2 linked regions of the Schizosaccharomyces pombe genome follow. Changing the gene in region 2 together with the main gene of any one other region gives a genetic interaction. Each region holds a gene or a part of one and is shown on either strand. Other genes may lie near its edges.

Region 1 (5,990 bases), on a different chromosome or scaffold from region 2:
ATTCATCGGATGCCCAGACAACAGCAATTTGATTCCTATGCATTCCGTTTCCGGGTAATGTTCGATGAGCCAAATCATAAAACCCTAAAGCTCTATCATATGCGCCGCGTTTTTTGAGGCAAGTAGAAGAATATCTGGCCATATCCCCTAAATATATAAAACAATTATACACGCATTCTAATGCCTCCATATGGTTCCTTGAATACGAAGCTTCAGGAATTGATGACATTTCATCGTTTGAAATAGTCGAAGAAACAGTAGCTGATGATGTCCATTTACAAAAAAACGGTCTGTATGAATCCAATTGGAACTTAGATATTAGTTCACTTATGCAAGTCTGGTAAAAGATTGCACACGTTTTCAAGAATTTAAAGAAAACCTTTTTTGTCTTTTTTTTTTCAACAACGTGTCGAGGATGTATCTTAAAATTAATAATTGTCCCATACTTTAGTTTTTACTCACCTCTCTAAACCTACTTCTAAAATGTTGAATAATTTTATAATGGCAACATGACCATATAATATCTGGACGTTCAAAAGTATTTGTTTGAATACTTTTTAGACGATTTAACAGTTTCTTCTCAACTTCAATTTCAATTGCTATAATTTTCTCATATAAATCATGCTTAAAACCTCCTTGAGCTGCTTCACACAGCGCTTTGACGAGCTTTCCCTGCTCTTCACAAATTTCATTACTTGAAAGTTGTTGCGACATTAATTATAATATCGTCACATTTTAAGAAAAATATAAAAAATTATCAAAAACGTATTTCTGCAGCGTTGAGCGTGGAAATTAGACCACTTAAGTCACTTGACTTCTTCCTACTTGATATCTTATGCAAAAACCCTAAGCGTAATGACAATTCAGTATTAGAGAAAGAAAAATATGGTTCTATCAAATAAAATAGTAGGGAAAAAAAATATATATATGTATATATATAATATTTACATGTACGACAAATGATTGAAAACAACTTATGTGCTGTGCTCGGAGCAACCCTGTACTCAACAATTACAAAAATATCATTGTTTTGTTTAATATTCCGTATCCTTAACTAAATGCTAGCAATAAAGAGCTGAATTAGTTGCCATTTAGGCGTTTTTCAAGCGAAAAGCAATAATTTATAAGGTGCGCGCTTTAAGGTTCATCCTCAGATTCATGTCCATGCTCGAAAAGGTAATTAGCAGCAAGCTACAATTGTTAGTTGATAATTCAATAAATCAAAAAAAAAAAAAAAACACACCTCTTCATTTTTATCACAAGCTAAATAAGCCTGAATTACAATGTTTCTGTCGAAGCCAAGTTGACATAACTAAAAGCTTGTTAGATAGTTAAAACAAAAAAATAGAAATAACATACTCTATCAATACTCTCAGATTCTTCTTGAGTAATTTGAATCTGAATTCCACCAGAAGGTAAGGCAGACTCGCCTTCGGCACCCTCCGCCAATAATTGCAAAAATGCTTCAGGATTTTGCGTAATAGCTTGAGCCAATGCAGGATCTCCCTGCCCAATTTGTTGCAATATAGTTTCCAACATCTGTGGATTTTGTTGAACAATTTGTCTTAGCTGTTGAAATTGAGGAATGCTACGAAGGAAGCCTAGAGGGTCATCACCAACGGTATTAGAAGGTTGTTCTTGATTTTCATTTTCTGATAAAGCAGCTTGTTCAAAAAGATTCGCTGGCTGGCCAGTGGAAGTAGGAGCAAGGGCTTCGCTTTGCTGTTGCTGAGCAGCAAGGGCTGCAGCACTCTCTTCTCTCTGTCGATTGAGAATGTCTTCGGGAATACCAGTTAATAAGTATTCCACTGCCCGATCAGGGTTGTTAAAAGCGGCACGCATGGCTCTTTCAACTTCGCTGCGTTCGTATCCCATTTCTACCATATTTTCGACAGCAACATTTCGTTGAGCACCAACTGCCAATGTGTTGGCGTCTATTGGTGCTTCACTAGTGGCAGTAGTATCTGGGTTTGAAGGGGCAGCAGCAGCAACAGTTTGTGTAGTAGAGGTAGATTCCGCCACGGTAGAAGAAGGAGCTTCAACTTTCTTTTCAGGTACGGAAGCCGGAGGATTGGGGGCAGGACTGGCAGCTGATTTCGGAGTAGAGGTGGAAGTTTTGGGTCGTGAAACCATGCATACAATGAAATCCTGTTCTTTTATATTGTATTCGCCAACAGTTTTGTCATCAGCAAGGATTCGACCTATAAATTAGTATTTTACATATTAAAATTATGTTATATACCTGAGTAAATTAACTTTTGACGTTCGACTTCATAATTCTGTTGCGTTTGAATTTTTTCTTTTAATTCTGAAATCTGTTTACGTTAGAAAAATAATATGCCACAATTATCATACTTTGGTATCTGCAGAAACATCAGAAATAACAAATTTCTGCTGCTGTAGATTTTTGAATGTCAAATTCATTTTCAAAGCAAATTTGGCGTAGTGGGTAAATGTATAGTAATGAAAACCTCTTTGAAAAAACGTTGCATCAGAGAATAATTGTCAAGGTAGCAAACAAACACCATACACAAGTAACATTATTTGGTATCATCGCATTGTTTATCATAAAATGTGAATGAAAAATCTAAAAAGCAAAACAGTTTGGTTTATTTGAACCTAAAATTTAATGTAAGAAAATATTTCATTTGTTTGAAAGTGTTGTGAGTGAAACATTTACCTCGTTTCCAAGTCCATTAGTACTCAATACAGTGTATTAGTTTATTCTTTATTCTTTAATTTACTATATATATATATATTTTTCTGTTGGATTATTCATTCTCATTTTCTATTTATTTACAGAACGATCGCTAATAAATTTATATATATTAATTATGATTTGTTTATTTAAGTTAGCAATGACCGTTACAATAGCAGATTTTTATTTACAAGTTTGACTTTTGAATTATGTTCCGATAGTTTTTCGCTCCTCCGTGGGCAACTAACTAGTAAACAAATGCTACAATAAGGTTGTTTAACTCATGAATATAGAAGTATATGATACGTAGAGTTGTTTATTAATCAGTATCCATATATATATATTTTTTATAGAATTTTCAACTAATAATTGGGATACGATACATATGTTAAACTAATATGAATAGCGTAGACACTTTGCTTAAACGAGATATATACATTTGTTTATTTCATTGATTTTTTTTTTAGCTATTTGGACAGCTACATCAGAATTTGAAAGCAGCGCCTTTGGTTTATACAATCCATTACCTTTGTCAGAGAAAGTATAAGGAAAGCGGAGAGAAAAAAGTCAACGTATATGTAAACTTCCGGATGCTTTCTAATTTTACATATTCTTCCAAATAAAACCCCAAATACTATCCCAAACTATGATAGCCGCTAAACACATAAATATATTTCATTAAAGACTCTCATACGAAAAATGCTGTAAACATATCATTAAAATATGCTAAGCTGCAATAACGAGTCAGGCCCAACATCTCTTTGGTAGACTTCACGAAGATCCACAGTCCAACAACGAAGCTTTACCAATTTAATTTAATCTCCGTTTGCATTATTAAAATATGTCTAAAGGTCCAGGAGATTTTAAGAAGTCTTGGAATGGGTTTGCTGCTCAAACGCCACAAAATACTCCATCTTCAGATGTACATCTTAGTAAGGCCGCATTAGAAAAAGCTAGACAAACCTTGCAATCACAACTGGAGGACAAATCAGCACATGATGAAGTTAGCGGGTTATTGCGCAACAATCCGGCCATGTTATCAATGATTGAGGGACGCCTTAGCTCGTTGGTTGGAAAGTCGTCGGGATATATAGAGAGCCTTGCGCCAGCAGTCCAAAATCGTATTACAGCATTGAAAGGCCTTCAAAAAGATTGTGATGCAATTCAATATGAATTTCGTCAAAAAATGTTAGATCTGGAAACAAAATACGAGAAAAAATATCAACCTATTTTCTCTAGAAGAGCCGAAATTATCAAGGGTGTTTCTGAACCAGTGGACGACGAATTAGATCACGAGGAAGAAATATTTCAAAATAATCTTCCAGATCCTAAGGGAATTCCCGAATTTTGGCTGACTTGTCTTCATAATGTTTTCTTGGTTGGCGAAATGATAACACCAGAAGATGAAAATGTCTTGCGATCACTCAGCGACATTCGTTTTACCAACCTTTCGGGAGATGTTCATGGTTACAAACTAGAATTCGAATTTGACTCAAATGATTACTTTACAAACAAGATTTTAACGAAAACTTATTACTATAAAGATGATTTAAGTCCTTCGGGTGAGTTTTTGTATGATCATGCTGAGGGTGATAAGATTAATTGGATCAAGCCTGAAAAAAATTTAACGGTTAGAGTGGAGACAAAAAAACAACGTAACCGTAAAACAAATCAAACTAGATTGGTCCGTACTACGGTCCCTAATGACAGTTTTTTCAACTTTTTCTCACCTCCTCAGTTGGACGATGATGAATCTGATGATGGTTTGGATGACAAAACAGAGCTTTTAGAACTCGACTATCAATTGGGAGAAGTCTTTAAAGATCAAATCATACCCTTGGCAATTGACTGTTTCTTAGAAGAAGGTGACTTGAGCGATTTTAACCAAATGGATGAAGAAGACTCTGAAGACGCATATACTGATGAGGAGGATCTGTCTTCAGATGACGAAGAAATTTTGAGTAGCGAAATTAGTGATTGATATTTATATTGTGTTCGTTAGATTATGAGTAAGTTCAATGTGAGCAAAAATGAGAAATTGACGCTGAATGATAATTTCGCTTATAGTTTGGTAAGTTTATTGTGGCTTAAAAAATTAAAATGTTGATTTACGTCGTAGTATCCTATAAAATATTTAATAAGCGGATCTAAGTTAGGATTTGTCTTTAAAATTTCAATTTGTTTTCTTGTCTTTTTAAATTTTGAATTTTTTTTTCCAATGCAGGTATAAAAAATATACTAAGTAATTTTTTATCATTCTGTGAGTATATTCTACTTACATGGTTCCTTTTTTAATAGCTAGTATTAGGTTAGTACGCGCATTATTTGAAGCTGTGGTGTTATTTATTAGCATTTGCTTTTCTAAAATGATAATGCGGACAGCCAGCAAAAAGTAAGCGGCTATTACTATAACTATCTGCAATAGCTTTTTCTATTTATTTTATACGTCAAAGCTAGATCTGTTCGTACATTAATTAACAATCTTTAAGTGCATTGTTAGCTCACACCGAGTTTATATGATAAGGTATAAGAACTAGTACTAGGTTGGAAGAACTACAACTAATAACGGTTCTGACAATAAATCACTACCTCTTGTAACTCTAAGTTTAGTTACTTCGATTGTCAAAACGTAATTATTATATGAACACAAGTAGAGATGTCTATTCATTCTCTTCACCAATCTTTCAAAAGAATTATATTGAATACCTCTAATTTGTTGCTGAGACCTAAAACAATTGCTTTTCAAACAGCAGGAACCCATCTTTTGCTACATATGTTTACCTTACTAATGAGAAGTTATGAGCTGCAAATAATAACACTGCGATGCTACTAATGTCATTAAGTTAGCTTTAGCGTTGTTTACCTTCGTTAACTAGAGGTTTTACAGATTGTTTCGAACTCGTAAAAATTTTTAGCGTTGCAGAATTGTGTTCGTAGTCACACCAACTGTAATCCTCTCTGCTATCCTAAAAATTTTACAGACCCATTACCTACCACAAAAAAAAATAATGGCATATACACCAGGTTCAAGAGGTGGACGAGGTGGCTCTAGAGGAGGCCGTGGTGGTTTCAATGGTGGCCGTGGTGGTTTCGGCGGTGGCCGTGGAGGTGCCAGAGGAGGAGGACGCGGTGGTGCTCGTGGCGGTCGTGGCGGTCGTGGAGGTGCCAGAGGAGGCCGCGGTGGTTCTAGCGGTGGCCGTGGTGGAGCCAAAGGAGGTGCTAAAGTTATTATTGAGCCTCATCGTCATGCAGGTGTCTTCATTGCTCGCGGAAAAGAAGATTTGCTTGTCAC
Region 2 (7,363 bases):
CTCTTCATAATTTGCTGATAATCTAACTCTTCCGGAGTACTTGCGAAATAAGACTCGTCGAGTTTAGCAAGAGTTACGCATCTTACAAATGCAGCACGACTAGAGGCATATAACATCTTCCTGCGAACATTCGCATTTTCAGGGACATAGGAAATTAATTGTAATAGATTTTTCTTGCTATCATCATAAACGAGGACAAATGCAGGTTCTTCAGATCCGAGCAAACATTCACGGACTTTCTTAAAATCAGATTCTATCGATTCTGATTTTTCAACCATTGTTTTCACGTCAAATGAATTCTCTAAATCATTTAGTAACTTCAACTAACTTAAAATTTACTCTTCTAGCCCGAATGGAAACTTACCATTAGAAATGCTAATAATGGCGGCGCGAACCGGTACCGAAGAGTACTCCTCGAGAAATTTACTGAACTTCTCTGTAGCTATCCACACGTTAGAAGAATTTAGCCAAATTTCTTACGTTTTAATTCGACGGAAGCAGACATTGTTATGGGGATTGAAAGGTTTACTGCGTCAGCAATTCCCCATTCTAAGTGAGTTAAATTGAATTATAACGAAATCCAAAGAAATCTATTAAAACATATTAACGATAGCAACAGAGTCTCTAAGAAATATTACAGTACTTAACGAAGCGTGTAATGTACGCTGGTAAAACAGGTGGTAGTGCTAGCCATAGCGAAACGTCGATTGCCTTTACCAAGTGGTCTTTACCGGATTAGTAAACAAAGCCGAAATTTGGAGATTTACTTGGCGTAAATTGACTAAGTTTAAACAATGTACTTGAAGAGAAATATTATAAATATGCAGAGGTCTTTTTCGCGTCAATTTCACATTTCTGTACGAAATTCCATTCAATCCTCTAAACCCTTGTCTAACTCGACTCCTCTAAAAGGTACAGAATTAAAAAATGAAAATGAATTATCTAGGGATATTAAATATAAATAAAAAAATTACCTTTGATGTACATGATTGCTAACATATCTTAGGTTGTTCAGTGGGTACAATTTTAATTAGATCGCCAATTCTTACTCGCCAACCATCCGAATTCGAAAAATCTATATATAAATATAATGCGGAACTTTGGAATGAGCTGAGTGATCCTTTACCTGCAGAATTTTATTTCAAGAAGGGATCGGTGGGTGAAAAAGATTGGCAAGAACGACAAAAAACACTAAAAGGTAAAGAATCACCCTTTGAGACGATATTTGGAAAGGAAAGGAAAGAGATGGAGTCTAACAAATTATTGGATTCTGCAACTCACTTGCAATCCAGAGTCACAGAAGCTGATACGAAAAACGATGAGCGAAGCACTCTTCGCTCGCTTGACAAGTCCCTTTACTTGTTGGTAAAAAAATCTAAAAGCTCGGGTTGGCAATTTCCTAACACTCCTGTTACAAGCTCCGAGAAGGCGCTGCATCTGGTAAGTACATTTTTTAAAATTCGATTCCAAGATACACAATATAGTGCAAGAGACTACTTACTATTGATTTGATGCTAAATAATTTATCAAATACTCTTGCAATTTTTGTTTACATAGTCTGCAGATTGGCCTTTCTAACAAACTGTAGTTATGTCAAGATCTTTTAAAAAATATATTAGACGAAAATTCGTTGACTTGGCTAGTTGCACGTCATCCATTAGCATTACTAAAAACGGAACAAGAAAAGGTAAGACTACGGATTTTTTGTTCTCATTTTATCTGGGTTGATTTTTTGTTTAACCAGTTATTTCTAGACCTTCTTGTTACGTGCTCGTTTATTAAATGGATTAGATGTACCTAACCTGCAAAACGTTTATGACTGGGTTTGGTGTACGTACGATGAACTGAAAAACAAACTTTCTCCTTCTTCATGGGATTCTGTAAAAAACATACTTTCCGATCGTTTGTAATCTTCAATTGAGCAAACAATATGTAAAATCTACGGAAAATAAACAGCGGAACATTTCATCTTGGAAATTCAATCTTTCTACAATCTTACTGCATTTTTCAGCTTAATTTTCACGTTTTCTATTTTTTTCTCTCCTTAATTTTTGATGTTTTGGTACGATGTAAAAAAAAACAAATAATTTTGGAATTTCACTAAGTATTTCTCCTTATTTATTCTATCTTTTTATTTGCAAATGATTCTGCCAGTATTTTATTTTCAGCCGCCTACTTTTGGAGTCCGGATTTCATGATTACTCACCCTCATGATCTGTGGATTCTTGGCAGTGTACGAGAAAACGGGAAAAGCGCGCACCTTAATAATAAACTATGTTTAGCTCAAGGGACCTAAAAAAATAGAATTGTTAATCAAAATTGATATCCGTAGTTTGTCCTCAATTCCAAGATCAAAAATTCTTTTGTCAGTCATAGTCTAGCCCTTAAAGACAATGTCTGTATAATTTAGTAATTATCAGAAATGATATGTGTCAGCATAATCCTTTGAAAGTTCATTAGAATGCAATTATAGACTTTGCTTTCTGGAAGCATTAAACCGTACATACACTTGACTTACAGATTTAGTCCCACTACAAAGGAATTGACAAAGGGCAACTTTGTAGAATTCTGTTTATAAACTCGGTTCTTATCAATAAAATGTTAACAGAACAACAGACTTTGGAGTTATTTCCAGAAAATTGGGAAAGAAATGAGCAAGTTTTGTTGAAATACCCGGATGGGTTACCCAAAGATGTACTCGCTGATCAAAGAGTTGATAATACAGAATCACAGGTAAAGGATGAAATAACTTCTAACATTACGAATCAAACTCAAATTTTACTACCTGCTGATTCCTTTCCTCAGTATGGGTCATATCCTAACAATTCAGAACTCGATTATGTTGTATGCACAAAATGCGACCGACCCTTCCTATCAGAGTATATTGAGGACCATCATAGCTCATGCAATGGAATTAAACCTCCTAAGCCTCAATTTGAGCCTGTTGCGAATTCTCAGGTTTTAAACAAAGATGTCAACAATGGCAATAATGCACCCATCAAAAATGGTGTTAAATCGACAGCTAAGGGCTCAGCTGGGAATCATGAAAAGAATTCAGTTAATGGTCAAAAGAATCCTGAAATGCCTCCAAAACGTCGGAAGACAGAAGAAAACAAAAAGCCTACAAAATCCGCCCTTCCCAAGAAAGAGGCTAGCAAGAAGAAGAATCCAAAGGTCAAAGGTATGTTGGTTTATGCTGTTCAATATGGAGAATGGAGTACCTGTTTACTTTAATACTAACATTCAATTAAGGTCCTGTGGATGTTGAAAAGCAATGCGGTGTTTTGCTTCCTAATGGGCAAATGTGCGCCAGATCTCTCACATGTAAAACGCATTCAATGTCAAGCAAACGAGCCGTTCCGGGAAGATCTCAGCCATACGATGTTTTGCTTGCAGCTTGTCAAAAGAAAAACCAAGTAAAAATACAACGACAAATCCTCGAAACTGCAAAAGAATCCGAAGATAATCAGCATCAAGCGCCTGTTGATTCTGATGAAGAAGTCAGTTTCATTATGAATGTTCTCCAGAAATCTGGCAATCAGCCTTTGGAGCAAAAAGTTTTTTTACCCGTAAAACGTCGCCATTCGTATTTTCGTACTAGAGAGTTAATAGCTGCTGCATTTCGACATGGTGAGCAGGGTATGCAAGTTACTGGTACTATATTGGGACGAGTGATTCCTTTTAGTGCCCGCCAACCACTATAAAGAAATTCTTTTGATTTTGCTTCGGTTGATGATTTAAATTCTTTATGAGATTATAGTTTACATTTTGGTCTACTTGACCACGCATTTTCGACTTTTTAATTTTCTCCTCCGTTCATCTAGTTTCTATTTCATTAATTTTTTCATTTTTTATTTTGTATATTGCACCATACGGTCTTAACATTTGGAATAATCAAGTAGAAGTTAATAAACTATAAAAATACCAATAGAACCCAAAACCAATAATCAATTCTAAAAAAAAGAAAGAAACAAGTATTCTCCAAAAATATATGTACACGTTTGTAGTCTAATTTTTTAAAAGAAACAGCAAAGTTTATGGTATCAGTTTGTTGCAAATCCTCAGTCTCACAATCAATCCTTTAGCCCTCTAAATCATCCTTGTTTTCAGCCGAATCTTCTTCTTCATCGCTAGAAAGAACATCAGGCAATTTTGAGGAAACCTCTTGCGTCTTTTCAGTAATGCCTATATCTGATAAATAACTGAAATCTTCTTCATTATAACTGTCAATAAAAGACAAAAAACAATGAAATCTAAACCGGTTAGTTAATTTAAGAAAAAAATATACTTACACTTGTTTACGAGCTTCTTCGAGAAAAATTTTATCATAAATATGAGCATGCTTAAAAGCAGTAATTTTTTGCTCGTACTTTGTAAAGTCGATAGGATCACGATTATTCTCTGGAGCTTTATGTTCATTATAACCTTTAAAAAACGGTGACTCTAATAAAAGTCCAAAACCAGGTCCCTTGGGTATGTTAATTTTTGTTTTTTTAAAGGCATCTTGTATGCGCTCAACAGGACAACCCGTTCGTACAACTAAAATAGCAAGCGCAATCATCTTTCTAATTTGGTGCAACATAAAAGATTGACCATGAACTTTACATGAAATCCATTCTGTATCGCCAATCATGAATGGATCAGATGCCTAGAATGTTAGAAACAAGACTTGTCAAGAATACTATAAATACAAAGAAGATAATTCTTACTTACAGTAAAAGAACGGATCACGCGATTACTATTCTTCTGATGAAATGCTTGCCCCACAGTAAAATTGTGAAAGTTATGAACTCCAACATATTGGTTTAAAGTTTCTCGAATAACGGACAGCCTATCTGCGGAAATACGGTAATTTTTTAATTTAAGTACTTCAATGTGCTTAAGTGCACGTTCGAGACGATAACTGGGATCAATCTTGGAACCAGCAGATTCGTCTTCAACAGAGTCAGGCTTTAAAAACTCGTTTACAATAGCAGAGGAATCGGAATCCATATCTGGATTAGTTTTAGCGGAAACTCCTGCTTCAGAGCCCTTATTATTTTCCGAATTAGCAAGAGCAGCAGCTCCCCTTTTAGAATATGGATTTACGAAGCCTTCAGGATCCTGTTCATAAAGGCTCAAAATCTCTTTGGCTGCAATATCATAATCATCCCAAAATTCCTTTCCTTCTTCATAAAATAATGAACGACTGAGTTGATTTATATTTTCCTTGTTAATTGGCTCAGCAGGCATGGGAGAATTCTTCATAATGCAATTTCCAAGTATGGACGAAGGTTTCGGTGGAACAAAAGCATACGTTGGAACCATATATTCATATATACGAGATTCGCAATAAGTCCTTGGGTTAAAAGAATTAATAGTACGGATCACATCCCATAAGCGAATGGAAGGAGGGAGGTGTTCGTTCACTTTTTCAATTAACTTCTCATCTTCCATTATAAGTTTGAGACTGATAACATTTCCAGCGGCATGAACTCCTTTATCAGTTCTTGCGGCTCTTGCTAAAGCAACTTTCTTTGGGTCATCAGCGTTATAAGAAGAAACGGCACCAGCCTTCACAAAAGCATCAAAAAGATCTCCTTCGATTGTTTTACTAGGAGGATTCAATTGCATACCATGATATCCGCTACCACAATAACCTACAAGACAGGCGACCTTTCTTTTCGGCTTTTTTTCTCCAACTACCAAATTCTCTGGCCGACCTTCTCCATTGTATATAGAATTAGGTCGGTTCCTTTTCGCTTCTCGACGATCACCATTGTACCAAGTGCGTTTACCACCACGTCCCATGCTGTAGTTAATATTATTTGTTTTTGATGAAAACGCAATTTACGCTGCACAGGTAAAAATTCATTTAAACATAGTAGAGTATATTTTCTTAATAATGAAATGCAAGGAATCGTTATTCATTCAATAAGATAAGAGTATAATTACACGATGGTTCACTAAACAATTATAAAACAATATACTTCGCTTACCTTAAGTTAAAAGTTTTAAGAATTAAAAAGCTAAATATTGTATCGCATTTCGAGCAAAAACAGATTGATGAAGCATTCAAACCAAAAAAAAATAATCAGCCTGAAAAAGGAATGACTTAAGACTGACTATTAATTGTTGCTTATTCTCTGTCTCTGTGTTTTATCTTTTGTTACCAGTTGTCGAAGTAAAGGCCAAATTGAAACCCGTGACTAATCCTTCCAATAACTAAGAAAAGTATACCTATTATCAATTTTATATCAAAAATCTAGTCCTTTTCATCGTTCATAAACCTCATTTTTTATTTTTTTCTTCCACACGTTACGAACAAAACCGCAAATTGTCAGCAATACTACACTAAGCTATGATATATTACGTTGCGTTTCACTATATGTCACATGTTCTAATTATATATCGTACCATGTATGATACGATATTGATATTGATCTTAATTAAAATCTATTAATATGTATATTATCTGAATACTATAAATAGAGCTACTGCTGAACCTCGTTCCTCAGTTCAGTTATGAGCTATATTAGTGATAGGTAACATTATAACCCAGTTAATACAATACCTATACTCAGTTGCTACTTATACAACCTGTGTATTGTAATATAATAGATCACAAGGAAAACTCACCGCAGTTCTACGTATCTTTAAATCAGATACCAAACTGCGTAGCCGACACAAATGAACTATAACGAACTAATATTAGTTGCAACTTACGACGGCTTTACTTGAGCTCTTTAAATTTAACGTATTCGCAACAATCACAGTGCGTGTAAAACACCCACTAGAATGTTGACACCATTGTGCATTTTATTATTTTTCTCAAATATTGGAATTGGTGCTTAATAACTCATATTGGTATATCAATATATTAAATTATTTGACATTTAAGATACTAATGAAATAGTTATTTCATTCGTGTGCTTTAGCCGTTATCATCGGACGGTTTACATAAAATATCAGCGTTTTTATAATTACGCGTGCTTCTTTTTTCTTTTTGTCGTATTTAAAAAGCCAAGGAAATTGTTTTTGATAATCTGTTTTTTACATGGAAAACGATGAACAAATAGATGAGACAGAAGTATGACCAATATGGACTGGTAGACGCAGGTGTTTTGAAATTATTATGCTGACGATTGTTTAAAGAATTTTGCAATTGGAAAATATGCCATTTTATTTGTGATTGAAGTTTCTCCCAGTATGCTTGATCCTGTCGATGAATTTACTCCCAGCTCTTTGCAGATGGCACTTATTTGTGCGTACCAGCTGGCGGCTCAAAGAGTAATCACAAATCCCAGCGACATAATGGGTGTATTGCTCTATGGTACTGTAAGTTTAATGCTGCATTTAAATTCACCGACGTTTACTTCTGCCA

What was found. Genes that interact genetically often act in the same process or in processes that back each other up.
Region 1: mutations in pus1 (region 2) and rhp23 are lethal when combined (synthetic lethality), as found in Schizosaccharomyces pombe (one study listed by BioGRID).

What each region holds. Positions count from the first base shown.
Region 1 is NC_003423.3:2,983,398-2,989,387, reverse strand, and holds rhp23 (UV excision repair protein rhp23), read right to left. Parts: upstream 2,460-5,990; 5' UTR 2,425-2,459; coding exon 2,356-2,424; intron 2,320-2,355; exon of another isoform or gene 2,316-2,319; coding exon 2,243-2,315; exon of another isoform or gene 2,202-2,242; coding exon 1,360-2,201; exon of another isoform or gene 1,313-1,359; coding exon 1,244-1,312; exon of another isoform or gene 1,192-1,243; coding exon 1,138-1,191; 3' UTR 899-1,137; downstream 1-898. Other genes in the region: telomerase regulator Est1, read right to left, coding at 1-421, 463-714; nucleosome assembly protein Nap2, read left to right, coding at 3,540-4,679; fib1 (fibrillarin, rRNA and histone methyltransferase), read left to right, coding at 5,707-5,990. UniProt on the Schizosaccharomyces pombe protein: Involved in postreplication repair of UV-damaged DNA. Postreplication repair functions in gap-filling of a daughter strand on replication of damaged DNA.
Region 2 is NC_003421.2:2,119,092-2,126,454, reverse strand, and holds pus1 (tRNA/U2 snRNA pseudouridine synthase Lsp1), read right to left. Parts: upstream 5,841-7,363; 5' UTR 5,791-5,840; coding exon 4,714-5,790; intron 4,649-4,713; coding exon 4,293-4,648; intron 4,254-4,292; coding exon 4,082-4,253; 3' UTR 3,825-4,081; downstream 1-3,824. Other genes in the region: twf1 (twinfilin), read right to left, coding at 1-301, 365-442, 481-505; mrpl17 (mitochondrial 54S ribosomal protein mL46), read left to right, coding at 795-912, 1,007-1,440, 1,589-1,687, 1,755-1,910; SAGA complex deubiquitinating submodule subunit Sgf73, read left to right, coding at 2,599-3,181, 3,253-3,704; Ku domain protein Pku70 , read left to right, coding at 7,037-7,069, 7,135-7,317. UniProt on the Schizosaccharomyces pombe protein: Formation of pseudouridine at positions 27 and 28 in the anticodon stem and loop of transfer RNAs; at positions 34 and 36 of intron-containing precursor tRNA(Ile) and at position 35 in the intron-containing tRNA(Tyr).